3 linked regions of the Saccharomyces cerevisiae S288C genome follow. The protein of the gene in region 2 purifies or fractionates together with the protein of the main gene of each other region. This does not show direct contact. Each region holds a gene or a part of one and is shown on either strand. Other genes may lie near its edges.

Region 1 (6,435 bases), on a different chromosome or scaffold from region 2:
CCTTTACTTCCTCCAGTAATAAGAACTATGCCATTCTTAAATTCACGAAGGCTCTTCCAGGCGACCTGTCCCGACCGCTTTATATAGGAATTAGCAATGAGGAATGCATTTATCAGTAGTGTATAGATTGTTAGACAAATGCTTATCGAGTCGCTTAGAGACCTAGGTTAGTTCGTCATGTTAGTATAAAAAACGCTGTTTCTAACCTCATGCCTATTTTCTACTTTACATACCATCTCAATACAAGAGCTACCAGAAGTGGATAGCGCAGCAGTGGCAGAACTACCCAACGACACAAACAGTCTATATTCATCACCAGAACTTCACCTTTTCCTCACAGCCGTATTATCACATATTAATGTATCTGTTCTACTGATTTTAAAGAGCTACTTGTTATACGGCTAAATGCACTTCCGAGGGTAACCTGTTATTCAGGATTATATGAACAGAGAGAATAATGATGTGAGTTACTGCAAATAGCATAATTACTGGACTATATTCTTGTTGGCTTATATTATTACAACGATATTTACCATTAAAAGTGTCTATATCTTATATTATTGATGATCTGCCATTGCTACAGGATTGCACGCGACTAATAATTGTCTATTAAGTATATTTGGATGACTTAACACAAGAATTGTTTTCTCTCTCCTTTCTGAACTAGCCAGCTTTATCTTCTTTCCTTTTATGATCTGGACGGGAACCAATTCGCCTAGGTTCTGCTCAACATTTTTTAAGTCGTAAATCTGTATCAAATTGTCGCCAACGAGAATCAAATGATTACCATGGAAGCTCGCGCCGGTACAACAAAAATCAAGTAAGAGAATATCCTTTCTCCAATCAGACATCTCACCGTAGCAGTTTATTTTCACTACGGCTTCATCATAAACCAAGGCAAAAAAACTAGATTGTGATATTTGAAAAAAATTGACCGGTATAGCTTTGCAAGTGGCGATATCCTTTTTTGCTTCTTCAGTGAGAGATTCTATGGAGGGGCGTTTCTTGGAGTCTGTAGCACTTTTGAACGGTAAGCTATTCAAATGTGGATGCCTCAAGTGTGCCATCATATCTTTATCATTCAAAAAAGATGGTAAGACTATTCCGTTATCCTCGAATGAATCTTGATAAAGTATGACTGTTTTCTTTGTACACACAGCAAAACTTTTCCTGAATATGGCAATATCCTCAATTTCGTTATTCAGAATGTTATTACTTGAACTTGGGAGCTTATACTCTTTGTAAAATTTGAAATATTTTACTTGGTTTGTCAATTGATCAAATTCTGGTGTTAATATAACTATCTTCCCCTTTCTTTCAAAAAATAAATGTTTTGAGTTACCAAAATCATCAGCAATTTTGAAGAATCTCACCTTATCTCTGATTACTGTTCCCACAATGCAGTTTTCATCTAGAGTGTTTCCTTGCGCTAGGTAACGGCTCACTACCGTTGAGATATTAAAATAGCACAACTTTCTGTTATCCAATACAAACAAGAGCCCCAACTTAACATTGGCTTCCATTCTTTTGACGTCGTTTAATTCTAATATTTTAACGAAACCACTACCATAATCGTCTCTATATTTCACATAGATACCGTCTGTTGTAGCCACAAATAGGTAAATTCTGCCCTCGAATTTAACATCTTCACAACAAAGAATCCGTGTTGTCTTACTCCATGAACATGAATCTTTGTTTGCTTTTTGAGCGTAAGCTTTGAGTGCTACATCAATTTCTGATCCTTCCGGAGCTACAGGTAGATTCACCGGTGCATCCTTGTCGAAGTATGCGAACTCAGAGCTCAACACTGTAAATTCAAAGGCATTTAAATCATGATTTTCTGCATTTCTTTTAAAAGATTCCATGATAGCATCAATCCATTGGTTGAGTACTTCTGCACTTTCTGTAAAAAATTTGAACGATTCACCTGTGGCTGTATTTCTGATCTTAAATGAGAACTCGTCTGTGTTTGGATTCGCGTTAGAAATTTCAGTATTACTAGTCTTTCTATCTCCATACGCTGTTGACATGTGATTTCCAGAACTTTTAAGCAGAGGTCTCATGGAGTTAATCGGTGTCGAAAAATTATGCATTGGGGATTTATGTTCTTTCTGAGAGTAGTTTCTCAGAGGCTGTTTACTTGTTCCTGGAATTTTCCTTTTCTCGAGACTTAAATAATCTATTGGGATAGGTCTTTCAATAAGCTTATATTTTTGAGTTTCTCCTTTACTTATTTCCTCTGTAATCAGTAAGCAATTGTCCAATAATGCGATATACACTGGGGTTGGGTCCAGCCATAAATCCCTCTTTTTATAAACAGTGCCAGATAGTACTAACTTCCTTTCCGGATAAGTTAAACCAAGAGCTAGTTTATCCTGAATTGCATCATCGTCATTTGCGTTAGTACTACCACCGACGTTCACATAGCTTGTTGCATTACTACTATTAGTACTTAATACTAATTGTTTCGAAAACCTTACTAGTTTCCTATGGTCAATTGCTAATCCATGTACCTGATTAACTTCAAAGTTCAACTTTTCTACTTCCTTAATTACTATTTTCAGGTATTCATAATCCTCCATGGAAGGATCCGTGTTCTTCAAAATTGAGCGCAGAGTTACGGGCATGTTTTGTAAAGATTTGAAAAACCCCCCAAAGAATATAACATCATGATACATCTTCGATCTTGTAATTTCAACCGAGTTATCAATCTCCTTAAGCCATGTTACAAATTTCGTCTTGTTTTTCTTCTCCCACATTATGATTTCGTGTACCGTTGCCATAGCTTTCGCGTAATTCAAATATATATTCTTGGCTTCACCACACCATTTTGAATAGATTTTTCCAACGCCATCAATAAACTTACCTCTCGTTTTTAATTTCCAAAATATTGGCGTCAAAAGAAATTCGGTATGTAATTGTATTAGAGGTTCGAAGATATCAAATGCCAATGCCTTGAACTCAGGCTCATCTGGAAGTAGGGATTTGTCAAACCGTTTCCCATAGATTTCTACCGCGGCAGTAGCCATGTTTAAGGATCTTTCTTCTAAAATAATTAAGTCAAATATAAAGCTTTGTCTTTGTACTTCACGGGGATTAATTTCTGCTAAATCATCTGGAGTCAAGTGCCAGTATTCTGTCCAAAGTCCAACTGATTTATTTATGATTTCGGAAAGTTTTATTTCTTTTCTGAAGCCAGAGCTTTGGCCATGTGTGCAAACGTTGGAATAACAAATCAGGGAGTTTGTAGATCCATAAGTATTATCGATGAATGAATAGCACGGTAGTAGTTCGGTGAAAACACCAGTAATATCCAGCCCTCCCACAACTACGGCTACCTCTTCATCGTTAATGATATCGAATCTTACTGCTTTCTGGGAAATAAACGAAGCCATAATATTATCCACATTTGAGTCTATCGTATCTTGATCGAAATTTGTAGGCATTTGAAACTCTAAAAGTAATTGAACAATTTGGAAAAGATCGATTTTCGTGAAGACACATTCATTAAACCATTCAAAATAAACTTTCAAAATCCACTCATAAATAGCAGAAAGTTTGTAAACATTATCACATTGATAAAGCTTGTGCTCATCGATAGATTGAATTGAAAATGGTTGTGTCGGTGCAGTAATGCTTGGTGCTAATTCTAATGGCTTGGCTCCTAGTAAAGAGTTAAAACTACTTTGCCTGGCATTTGAGTTATTAAAAGTATAATCTGAGTCAGAATAAACACTTTCTAGGGCTTCTGATACTCGGCTATTCCCACTTACGTTTCTAGATGTTGATAGAGGCGGTGGTGGTTTCGTAAAAAATTCTGAGTCTTCATCATCAAAAGGAGATAGCAGAAGAGTAGTAGTGAAAGGAATTGGGGGTAAAGCTTTTTCTCTTTCATGACACCGTAGATCTGATTCATCAGAGAAGTGAGCCTGCTGTTTGCTACTATCTCTTGGAGATTTAGGGGAATTTGGACTAAATCCGTTCGCAAATGGTGATTTTAAGATCCTGGAATGGTTAGATATGTATTCCATGTGATGTCGTTCCTCTGAGTTTCCTATAAAGGATAGTTTATTAGGTGATCTTTCCCGGGACTGAGAACTGGGAGATACCATGGGTGAGTCTATCCGTATTGATTCAGTGGAATACAAAAGGGGTGGCGGTGGTGGTGGTCGTCTTTCTTTGACGTACTTTGTCGATTTGGGTGTGGATTCTGAAGAGCTAGTACCGTTTCCCCTTGCACTATGTTTTGATGTAAAGGTAAAAGCCTGAGGGACCGGGCTTTGGAATTGCTGGGTGTCACTGATTGGTGTCCAGCCAATTGAGATATTATCTGTTCCGTTATCAGAATCATCCAAAAAGGAGTTCCTCGTATTCAATGGTGGCAGTTTGGGCAATTCGATGCTCTTTCGTTGGCTTTCTTGACGGCTTACTCGTTTTTCTGGTGTTCGTTCAAAAGGGGAACTTCTATTATATCGATACATGTTAACTTGCTGCACTCAATAAGTTTTTTGTTTTAATGTTTATATTCGAAGTAGTATCAATTAATTGTTCATAACAGTGGCTGGAGGGGGTATACAGAACCACTAAAACCTCCAGAAATAATAGTTGAATAAAATATTGATGCAAGAAATGGATTTTGAACAGTTATATTGCGTACTGATCATCCTCTCTAGGGGTTGTTTACCTAAACGATGTGTTAACGTTTTCTCTAAATGATTTATATTGCGGCCTATGCGACGAGTCAGTATGAACAATAGAAAATCTTAAGAAGCCGTAAGCTAAAAACATCAAATGATTATAGCGCACCAACTGCTCGACTGGAAGCAGCGAAATTACGTATGTATGACCGAAGCTCAGTTAATTTTCTCTTAAGTAAAGACACAACCTTTAAATGTTGACTAACTGTGTTTGAGTAGGGGAAAAGTCCCCAAAAGTTGACGCATTTCCTTTGCATGACTGGTTTTGGAAAAGATTTCGACCTAACTCCCCAAAAAATTACTGTGAACACCTATCTGTGTAAATTTACGGTTGTTTTAGTCAAAATAGCTGTTATAACGTTTATCATAGTCCACTAAAACAGTATTTGGACACCGAACAAACTGTTTTCGATTAGGAGATTAATCGCATCTATTAAATAGCTTGATGTTTTTATTATACAATCTTCAACATTAGTTGTGATATGGAAGTTTAAAATACTGGCTAGAGACACTCGTTAGGGTTAAGGTAAATCGATAGCGGTAGTACATTATGGCATACATACCAAGATCGGGTAAAGCCGTTCCATAGTTAGATGCCTACTACTAAATGACGGTCTGAAATGGGAATTATATACGATAAATATCACAAATTGAGGAGATGGAATATAAGGATTAGCTGCTAATTATATGACAGGTTTATTGCGACGTTACTATATTACAACAGATGGCGGTTTTAGGGTAGTACCGCTTGCTTAATCGAATCAGATCAAATCAGAAGAAAAAGCAGGATCAGGCTTGAAGTACACGCTCAATGAACAAAAGCGAAAATAACCTTTTGTTTAGAGGTGCTTGTCATATCGAAATACTATATTAACTTTAAAATATTCCGCGCTACGTTGGGTGAATTAGAACTGACCAGGAGCATTTCCCTAATAAACTAAATTAGCGTGGCCACACTTTCAATCTTCGTGTGAACCTGTTGGAATAAAAATCAACTATCATCTACTAACTAGTATTTACGTTACTAGTATATTATCATATACGGTGTTAGAAGATGACGCAAATGATGAGAAATAGTCATCTAAATTAGTGGAAGCTGAAACGCAAGGATTGATAATGTAATAGGATCAATGAATATTAACATATAAAACGATGATAATAATATTTATAGAATTGTGTAGAATTGCAGATTCCCTTTTATGGATTCCTAAATCCTTGAGGAGAACTTCTAGTATATCTACATACCTAATATTATAGCCTTAATCACAATGGAATCCCAACAATTACATCAAAATCCACATTCTCTACATGGTAGCGCCTATGCTTCGGTTACTTCTAAGGAAGTCCCATCAAATCAAGATCCGTTAGCCGTTTCAGCTTCCAATTTACCGGAATTTGATAGAGATTCCACTAAGGTTAATTCTCAAGAAGAGACAACACCTGGGACATCAGCTGTTCCAGAGAACCATCATCATGTCTCTCCTCAACCTGCTTCAGTACCACCTCCACAGAATGGACAGTACCAACAGCACGGCATGATGACCCCAAACAAAGCTATGGCTTCTAACTGGGCACATTACCAACAACCATCTATGATGACGTGTTCACATTATCAAACGTCACCTGCGTATTATCAACCGGACCCACACTATCCGCTGCCACAGTATATCCCACCGCTGAGTACTTCCTCACCTGATCCAATCGATTCACAGGATCAACACTCTGAAGTACCTCAAGC
Region 2 (3,072 bases):
AGAATCTGTCGAAGCCTACTTAGTCTCTTTATTTGAAGATACCAACTTGGCTGCCATTCACGCCAAGCGTGTCACTATCCAAAAGAAGGATATCAAGTTGGCTAGAAGATTAAGAGGTGAAAGATCATAGTTTGTTGATTGTCATCAGTTTTAGTAAAAAACGAACAAAAACACAATAAAATATAAATCAATATATTTAGGTTTACTGGGTTCTTTAACAGTTGTATAATAGTTATTTTTTATTACAAAAATATAGGTTTTAATAAAAAAAAATAGGGTTCTATTTGTTTTACATTTATTGATTTGTTTTTCCTGGCGATACCCTCGAAAAAAGCCAGGCCTTGTAGGAGGCAAGATTTATGGCTTTCCATGTGGTTAAAGAAAAATTGCAGCAGGAAGATATTCATTCATGAGTCAGTTATATAATCGATATATAGCTACATATTAAACAACTTGAAGCCGCATACGTGGTAGGTGTCTCATTTTCAATTCAAAATATTTTAAACAGAACCGGAGATGAAGAACCACTTGTCAATAGACTTGTCAATTGGAGCATCTGCCTTTGGAGAAGCTGGTGGGATGGCATCAGAGGCAGCCTTGGAGTAGGTTGGGGTGTCAGGCAAAGTAACATTGGTCAAATCAATACCCTTGCTGTCAGAAGACTTACCAGCAATTAATTGTTTCCAGGAGTCATGTGTTTCCTTGATGATATCCAAAGCGTACTTCTTGTTCTTAGCTTCACCGGAGAAGGCAAATTGGTTTTCTGGCTTACCATCTGGGATTTTGTAAATTCTGAACCATTCGTTAGTAGCCCTCAACAGACCTGGGAAGTATTTCTCAACATCCTCAATGTCGTTCAATTTTGGGGCTAATGGATCGTTAATATCAATGGCAATAACTTTCCAATCGGTCTCACCTTCATCCAATAAAGCCATGATACCTAGAGCCTTAACTTGCTTGACTTGACCAGTGTAAGCAATAGTTTCACCAATTTCCAACACATCAATTGGATCGTTGTCACCAACTGCCTTAGTTTCTGGGTGGCTTACGTTTGGGTCTTCCCAAGTTTGTGGGAAAGCACCATAGTTGTGAATGTAACCATGGTGAGGGAAACAGTTTCTAACAAATCTCAACTTGCCCTTCTTGGTGTCTTGGATGATTGGGTTCAAAGTTTCTTCCTTGGTGATTTCTAACTTGGCGTTGGTCCAACGTGGAATTTCAACAACCATGTTGAAAATGTTGTTTTCCTTGTCAGCGTACAAGGGAATGTCGTGGAAGGCAGAAACTGGCTTACCATCCTTTTCGATATAAACTTTGTATTCCAAGGTGTTCTTGGCACCAATTTGTCTGGTAGTGTAGGTCATTAGTAAATTGCGCGGCGGGATATCCTGTTCTATAGACCTAAGGGACAACAAATCAAAATAGATGATTAAGAAAGTAAGTATTCAAAAACAAGTTGTAAATGAACTAACCTTCCTAACTTCGACGCGACCTTAAAACGTCGAAAAAAAACGAGAAAAAGTCATCATGAGACTATCGTATCTAATGACTGTGGCTTCTCCCAACAACCTTAGCGTCTGCGATGACGATATTTTGAAGAACAGTCAAATCCGTTTGAATAGTGCGCCACACAGGGATAATAATAGCACATTGGCATCTCCTTCTGTGAATGAAACACTTCTACCTGGGCTTCAAAGTCCCGCAACCTTTTAGTTACATAAAATTCGGCGGCTAAATCATGATATTATATTGATGGGTAATGTAGCGTTCAGTAAAACGGTTCCTATGTATTACTATCACGTGGGTGGGGAAGACCACATTCTTAGAGAAGAGTAATCATTTTAGCAGATTATTTTTACCTTTTTCAACTCATGAACTCATGTTCAAAGGTACAATATATTACCCTTTCTTCAAAGTATCCGAATGATTTGAACCGCACTCTGAGGGAGCCATCAAATTCTATTGAGCGACTTCGAATCGAACAATCCAATTAAATCAGCCTTTAGCGCCATATTTCTCCTTGTATCCATTGTTTACTTCTCCCTTGTATCTTGTATATGAGAATTATGGGAATAAGATAATTGTTGGGATTCCATTGTTTTCAAAGGCTGTAATATTAGGTACACAGATTATACTAGAAGTTCTTTTCGAGGATATAGGAATCCACAAAAGGAAATCGATAGTTATACATAATAATATTATTGTATCTTACTTCCTTTTATATGTTGTCACTCATTATTGTGTCGTGCATTCCATTAGATTGGATGACTGTTTCTCAATCTTTATGCCATCCTCTTACACCGCATGTGATATAATAGTAACATGAGTGCTGCGAAATAGATGATATTAAAATTTCATTCCAACAAAGTTCCATATATATCCATATATATATATATATTTCACGAGGATAATGAGTTAAAATACTATGTAAAGGTATTGTGGTTCATTTTTCTTTTATCAATTTTTATCCAAGTTTTTCTGATCTATAACATGTCCAATACACTTTTTCGAACTATAACCGCCAACAAATTTATCTTATAGACGAGAAACACTTTTATGATATCGATGTTCTACACCTACTGCCGATAACACCGTGTTTTCACTATTATAGCATATACCATTTTTGTAACCAATGTGTTGTTGTAATTCTCCGCAAGGCATATCCCAGATATTCTTATATGGCCCATTTCCACTTCGTTGAAGCCTCACATCAAAAGAGCAATCTTGAGATAATTTCAAAACCACACACATCGCTGCAGTTTCATAATATCTGTCATCACTGATGCAATAATTAAGTGACGAAATTATATCATTATTAACAGCTGTATTATTATTATAATCAAGACAAGCTGAATTTGATGCAAATATATATTCCCATTCAGTGCCGTTTCTTTCGAATTTATAGAAATCACTTCTTTGTAGGTAATTGTTCTGGCTTACTTTGAGCTTATTCATGTTAAAGTAATTGTTGGAATAAAAATCCACTATCGTCTATCAACTAATAGTTATATTATCAATATATTATCATATACGGTGTTAAGATGATGACATAAGTTATGAGAAGCTGTCATC
Region 3 (3,442 bases), on a different chromosome or scaffold from region 2:
CAGGTAGACCTTGAACTGCTTTAGTAATTTGTCAACAGTATTAGTGTATTGGGTGTCATCTATGGAGTCTTTTAGGTAGGCTTTCTCTACGTGGTCTAGTGTGATTACTATAGAATATATTTCAGATAAAGTTTCAATGACTTCTTTATCCTTTGAAGTTATAGAGTTGTCGAATAAGGGTACTTCATCGTGGAATAATTGGGAAATATCCTGGTTTTGGTTTAATTTTATATTGTGTTTTTGCATGGGTGCTTTTGAGTGATAAGTGACTTTATGAAAGTGCCCTTATTTTAAACCCATGGGGCCGTTGTATTGTTAAACCATAACTTTTTTTTTTTTGCCGGACGCTATAGTCTTTTTTTCTCTTCATGTAGAAAATTGAAAAGACCAGAGTGCGGGACAAGAAGAATATAAATATATAATACATTAGCATTATTCAAAAGCTTTATAGATCTACGTATCTGCGTTGATTTAATATATGAACCATGCCAATCACTGCCTCATTGTATGACAGGTACTCTTCTCAATTTAGAAGGATCCGTACGACTAGGGTCCTTTTGCGAGTATAATATATTAAATCTATTATTTGTTTCTGGGTCGTTAAAATTATAAATTATTGGCGGCAAGGAGGGATACTCTAGACAGTTCGAGCTGTTATTGTTGTTGCTCGTGTTCTTGATTCGACCAAAATTTTTATAAAACTTCTTGGCAAATTTAGCAGTTTGTCTTTCTTGCAATATTAGGTTCTCGATTAGCGGCAATTGACTTACTGACCAAAACGATATGATTAGGGGGTGATTAATTTCGAAGTTTTTCAGACTTTTATTGAATTTGAACCTTATTGAAAGATAGTGAGAAACATTAAAATGTTGACCTATCGTAGTTATCGAACTATGATATTGCAGAGGAATGTCGTCGATTTTGTTGATTAATACTTTAGTTTCGGGACAACTCGACTCAGAAGATCTAAAGCTTTGTAAAATTTTGTCCTTAGTGAATATTTTTAGGTTGAATTGAAAAATCATTGAATTCATGGAGATGATTTGATCAACCTGTCTTACAGAGGTTTGCAAAATATTTGTTGTTTGCGTGGATGAGAATTCTGATTGGTTCTTCAGAATTTCCAAGTATTCTAGTATCTGTGTTGTAATTGATTTCAATTTGAGCTTGGACTTAAACTTTTTCTTTGTGGAGAAAAGTGTCGGCGTGGACACATCAAAGTCATTCGAAGAGGGAGTTGTGGCATTGTTCGGAAATGGGTTCAGCCTGATTGATATGGAGAGTTTCAACGTGTCATTATTCATAGAAACACAGGGATTCTCAATGGAATAACTAATTAAGAACTTTTGATCGGGAGAAGTGATGTTTGATCTGTTTATTGGCCTGAAATATGACGGTGAAGGTAGGTATGTATACCTTTCGACGTTTACTGGGTAAAGAAAATTTCTTTTCTTATTTGAGCTTCCTCCGCCGACCTCTGTATAAAACACGGTACAATCCAGGAAAGTCTGCGTTTTGCCGAATTTCGGATTATAGTTTGTTTCTTTGATGTCGTCAGGTAGCCCAATCGTCAAAGGTATGTCTATGCCAATAAGATCATTGTTGAGATCGTCGCCATCATGGGTAGGGTGGGATAACACGATGTTTTTCTTATAATGAATGCTGATGTTCTGGTTACTGGTGTCAGAATGGCCATTAGAGGGGTCCGACGGACGATTAAATGGGGTGAAAGAGCTGTTATTGCTGCTATAAAGGTTTTTGTTGAAATATATTTCAATTGTCTTTAAAACAATTTCGATCTTTACCAATTTGAATGGCAAAGAGTTGTTTGAGCGCACTCTTAACTGGCATTCGATTCGTGGTAACGTATCAGGTAAACCGGGGCAGCCCCGTATTACAGAATTGTAGCTTGGCTTTAGTGATATAACTGGGTGCGTCATTTTCACTTCTTCGATTCTTTATCAGCTGTTATATACCCATAGAAAACCAAGGTGAACAGAAAGCATCCCACAAAAAAGTGTCGGAGCAGTGATGACCGTGACAGCTGAAATATTGAACTAATATTTCACTCTTTCTGTCAAACTAGCGCGCTTTTGGCAATCTCCATTTTCCTTCTTTTTTTTTCCGTTTTTGTTATACTAAACAACTTCGGGGCGCGTTATAGATAGAACGACTTATACACATCTATTTTTACGTACTTATATATGTATATAAATGGATGGTGAGAGTAAGATGCTCTTGTTTAGTAGGCGTGAGGCTAAGGACGCCAGCATGCTGTATATATTTGTATTGCACTTGATTTACTTATAACAGCTTAGGTTTACAATGCAACAAGATATCGTCAACGATCACCAGGAGGAGGCCCAAGGGTGGAAGTGGGAACAAATCAAAGAGATAATTGAATCGGGGGAGCTTGCCCGTTTGAAACGAAGTCGCCAGATGACTGACAAATACCACGAGCATAAGAAAAGGACTGCTGGCCTGGACATGAACCAGTACGTTTTGCAAAAACTAGGCTGGTCGCTAGACGAACCGCAGCTCGAAAATGCTGCCGCGAAGGCTTTTAGTTCTTCTACTCTATATGCTGTGCGTGCCAACGATTTCCCGTATAACTTCGAGCCTGGTGTTGTACACCTTGTTCTCTGGTCCAAGGTTGCCCTGCCAGTACATTCCCCAGATAAGGCCGTGCGCGAAGCGGCCCGCGCTCGCATGAATGCATTTTTGCAGGCACAGCCGCTACTGCGTCCACTTCTAAGCTCGGGTCACGTGGCCTGGTTTGTCAACTACCCGGAACTACAAAGTGTTGCCCGGATTTTCCACGCTCACGTGCTGCTTTTCTTCCCACGGGAACGCTATTCCGCGGAACAGGTAAAAACGACCGTTGATGATATCCTTTCACACGGTTTCGAGCCACTTGCCTGATAAAGTTTTTTTTTTTTTTTTCAGCATGCCAAAATGCTACATACATTTGTTAATTATGTACTATAACCGATACTGGTATTAATGATGCGATGAGCTGATGAGACAGTAGATAAATAAAAGACGCTTCTACCTACACAAGCACATACAATATAATATGCATATGCAACTCAGGAAAAGAAAAAGGGTTGACTATTCAGGGAGAAATCAGACGTCCGATCCTCCTTCAACCACAACGGCAGCGGTACCATCCATTATTGTCCCTAAGAAGCGTAAAGTAGTCGCACAAAACATGGTTAGTCCAGCTATTCGAGCCACAACCACAACACTGGGCACCTCAAATATAATAATACCTAAGCCTCTGCAGCGCCCTAAATTCCACAATAGCGCCAGCCTATCTTCACCTGATGATGATCCCGAAAAGATCTCTGTATTGGAAGTTCAGAAAAATTTGTCCAATCTCATCAAAAGACAACAAAGATTATTTTATAAAGATATACATAAGCCGACTCTCGCCGGCTTG

Evidence for each region.
Region 1: the proteins of IPP1 (region 2) and TUS1 purify together in Saccharomyces cerevisiae (affinity purification with mass spectrometry; 3 studies listed by BioGRID). This does not show direct contact.
Region 3: the proteins of IPP1 (region 2) and RGL1 purify together in Saccharomyces cerevisiae (affinity purification with mass spectrometry; 4 studies listed by BioGRID). This does not show direct contact.

Annotation. Positions count from the first base shown.
Region 1 is NC_001144.5:980,940-987,374, reverse strand, and holds TUS1 (Rho family guanine nucleotide exchange factor TUS1), read right to left. Parts: upstream 4,482-6,435; coding exon 558-4,481; downstream 1-557. Other genes in the region: TDA5 (Tda5p), read right to left, coding at 1-162, 234-313. UniProt on the Saccharomyces cerevisiae protein: Guanine nucleotide-exchange factor (GEF) for RHO1 that stimulates the exchange of RHO1 GDP-bound form into GTP-bound form. Required for signaling of cell wall defects to RHO1.
Region 2 is NC_001134.8:256,612-259,683, forward strand, and holds IPP1 (inorganic diphosphatase IPP1), read right to left. Parts: upstream 1,365-3,072; coding exon 501-1,364; downstream 1-500. Other genes in the region: HHT1 (histone H3), read left to right, coding at 1-130.
Region 3 is NC_001148.4:424,731-428,172, reverse strand, and holds RGL1 (Rgl1p), read right to left. Parts: upstream 1,941-3,442; coding exon 501-1,940; downstream 1-500. Other genes in the region: ESCRT-I subunit protein VPS28, read right to left, coding at 1-246; HTC1 (Htc1p), read left to right, coding at 2,326-2,922; YPL068C (uncharacterized protein), read left to right, coding at 3,077-3,442. UniProt on the Saccharomyces cerevisiae protein: Regulator of RHO1 signaling that acts as a cofactor required for the efficient localization of the TUS1 GTP exchange factor (GEF) for RHO1 to the bud neck during all phases of cytokinesis.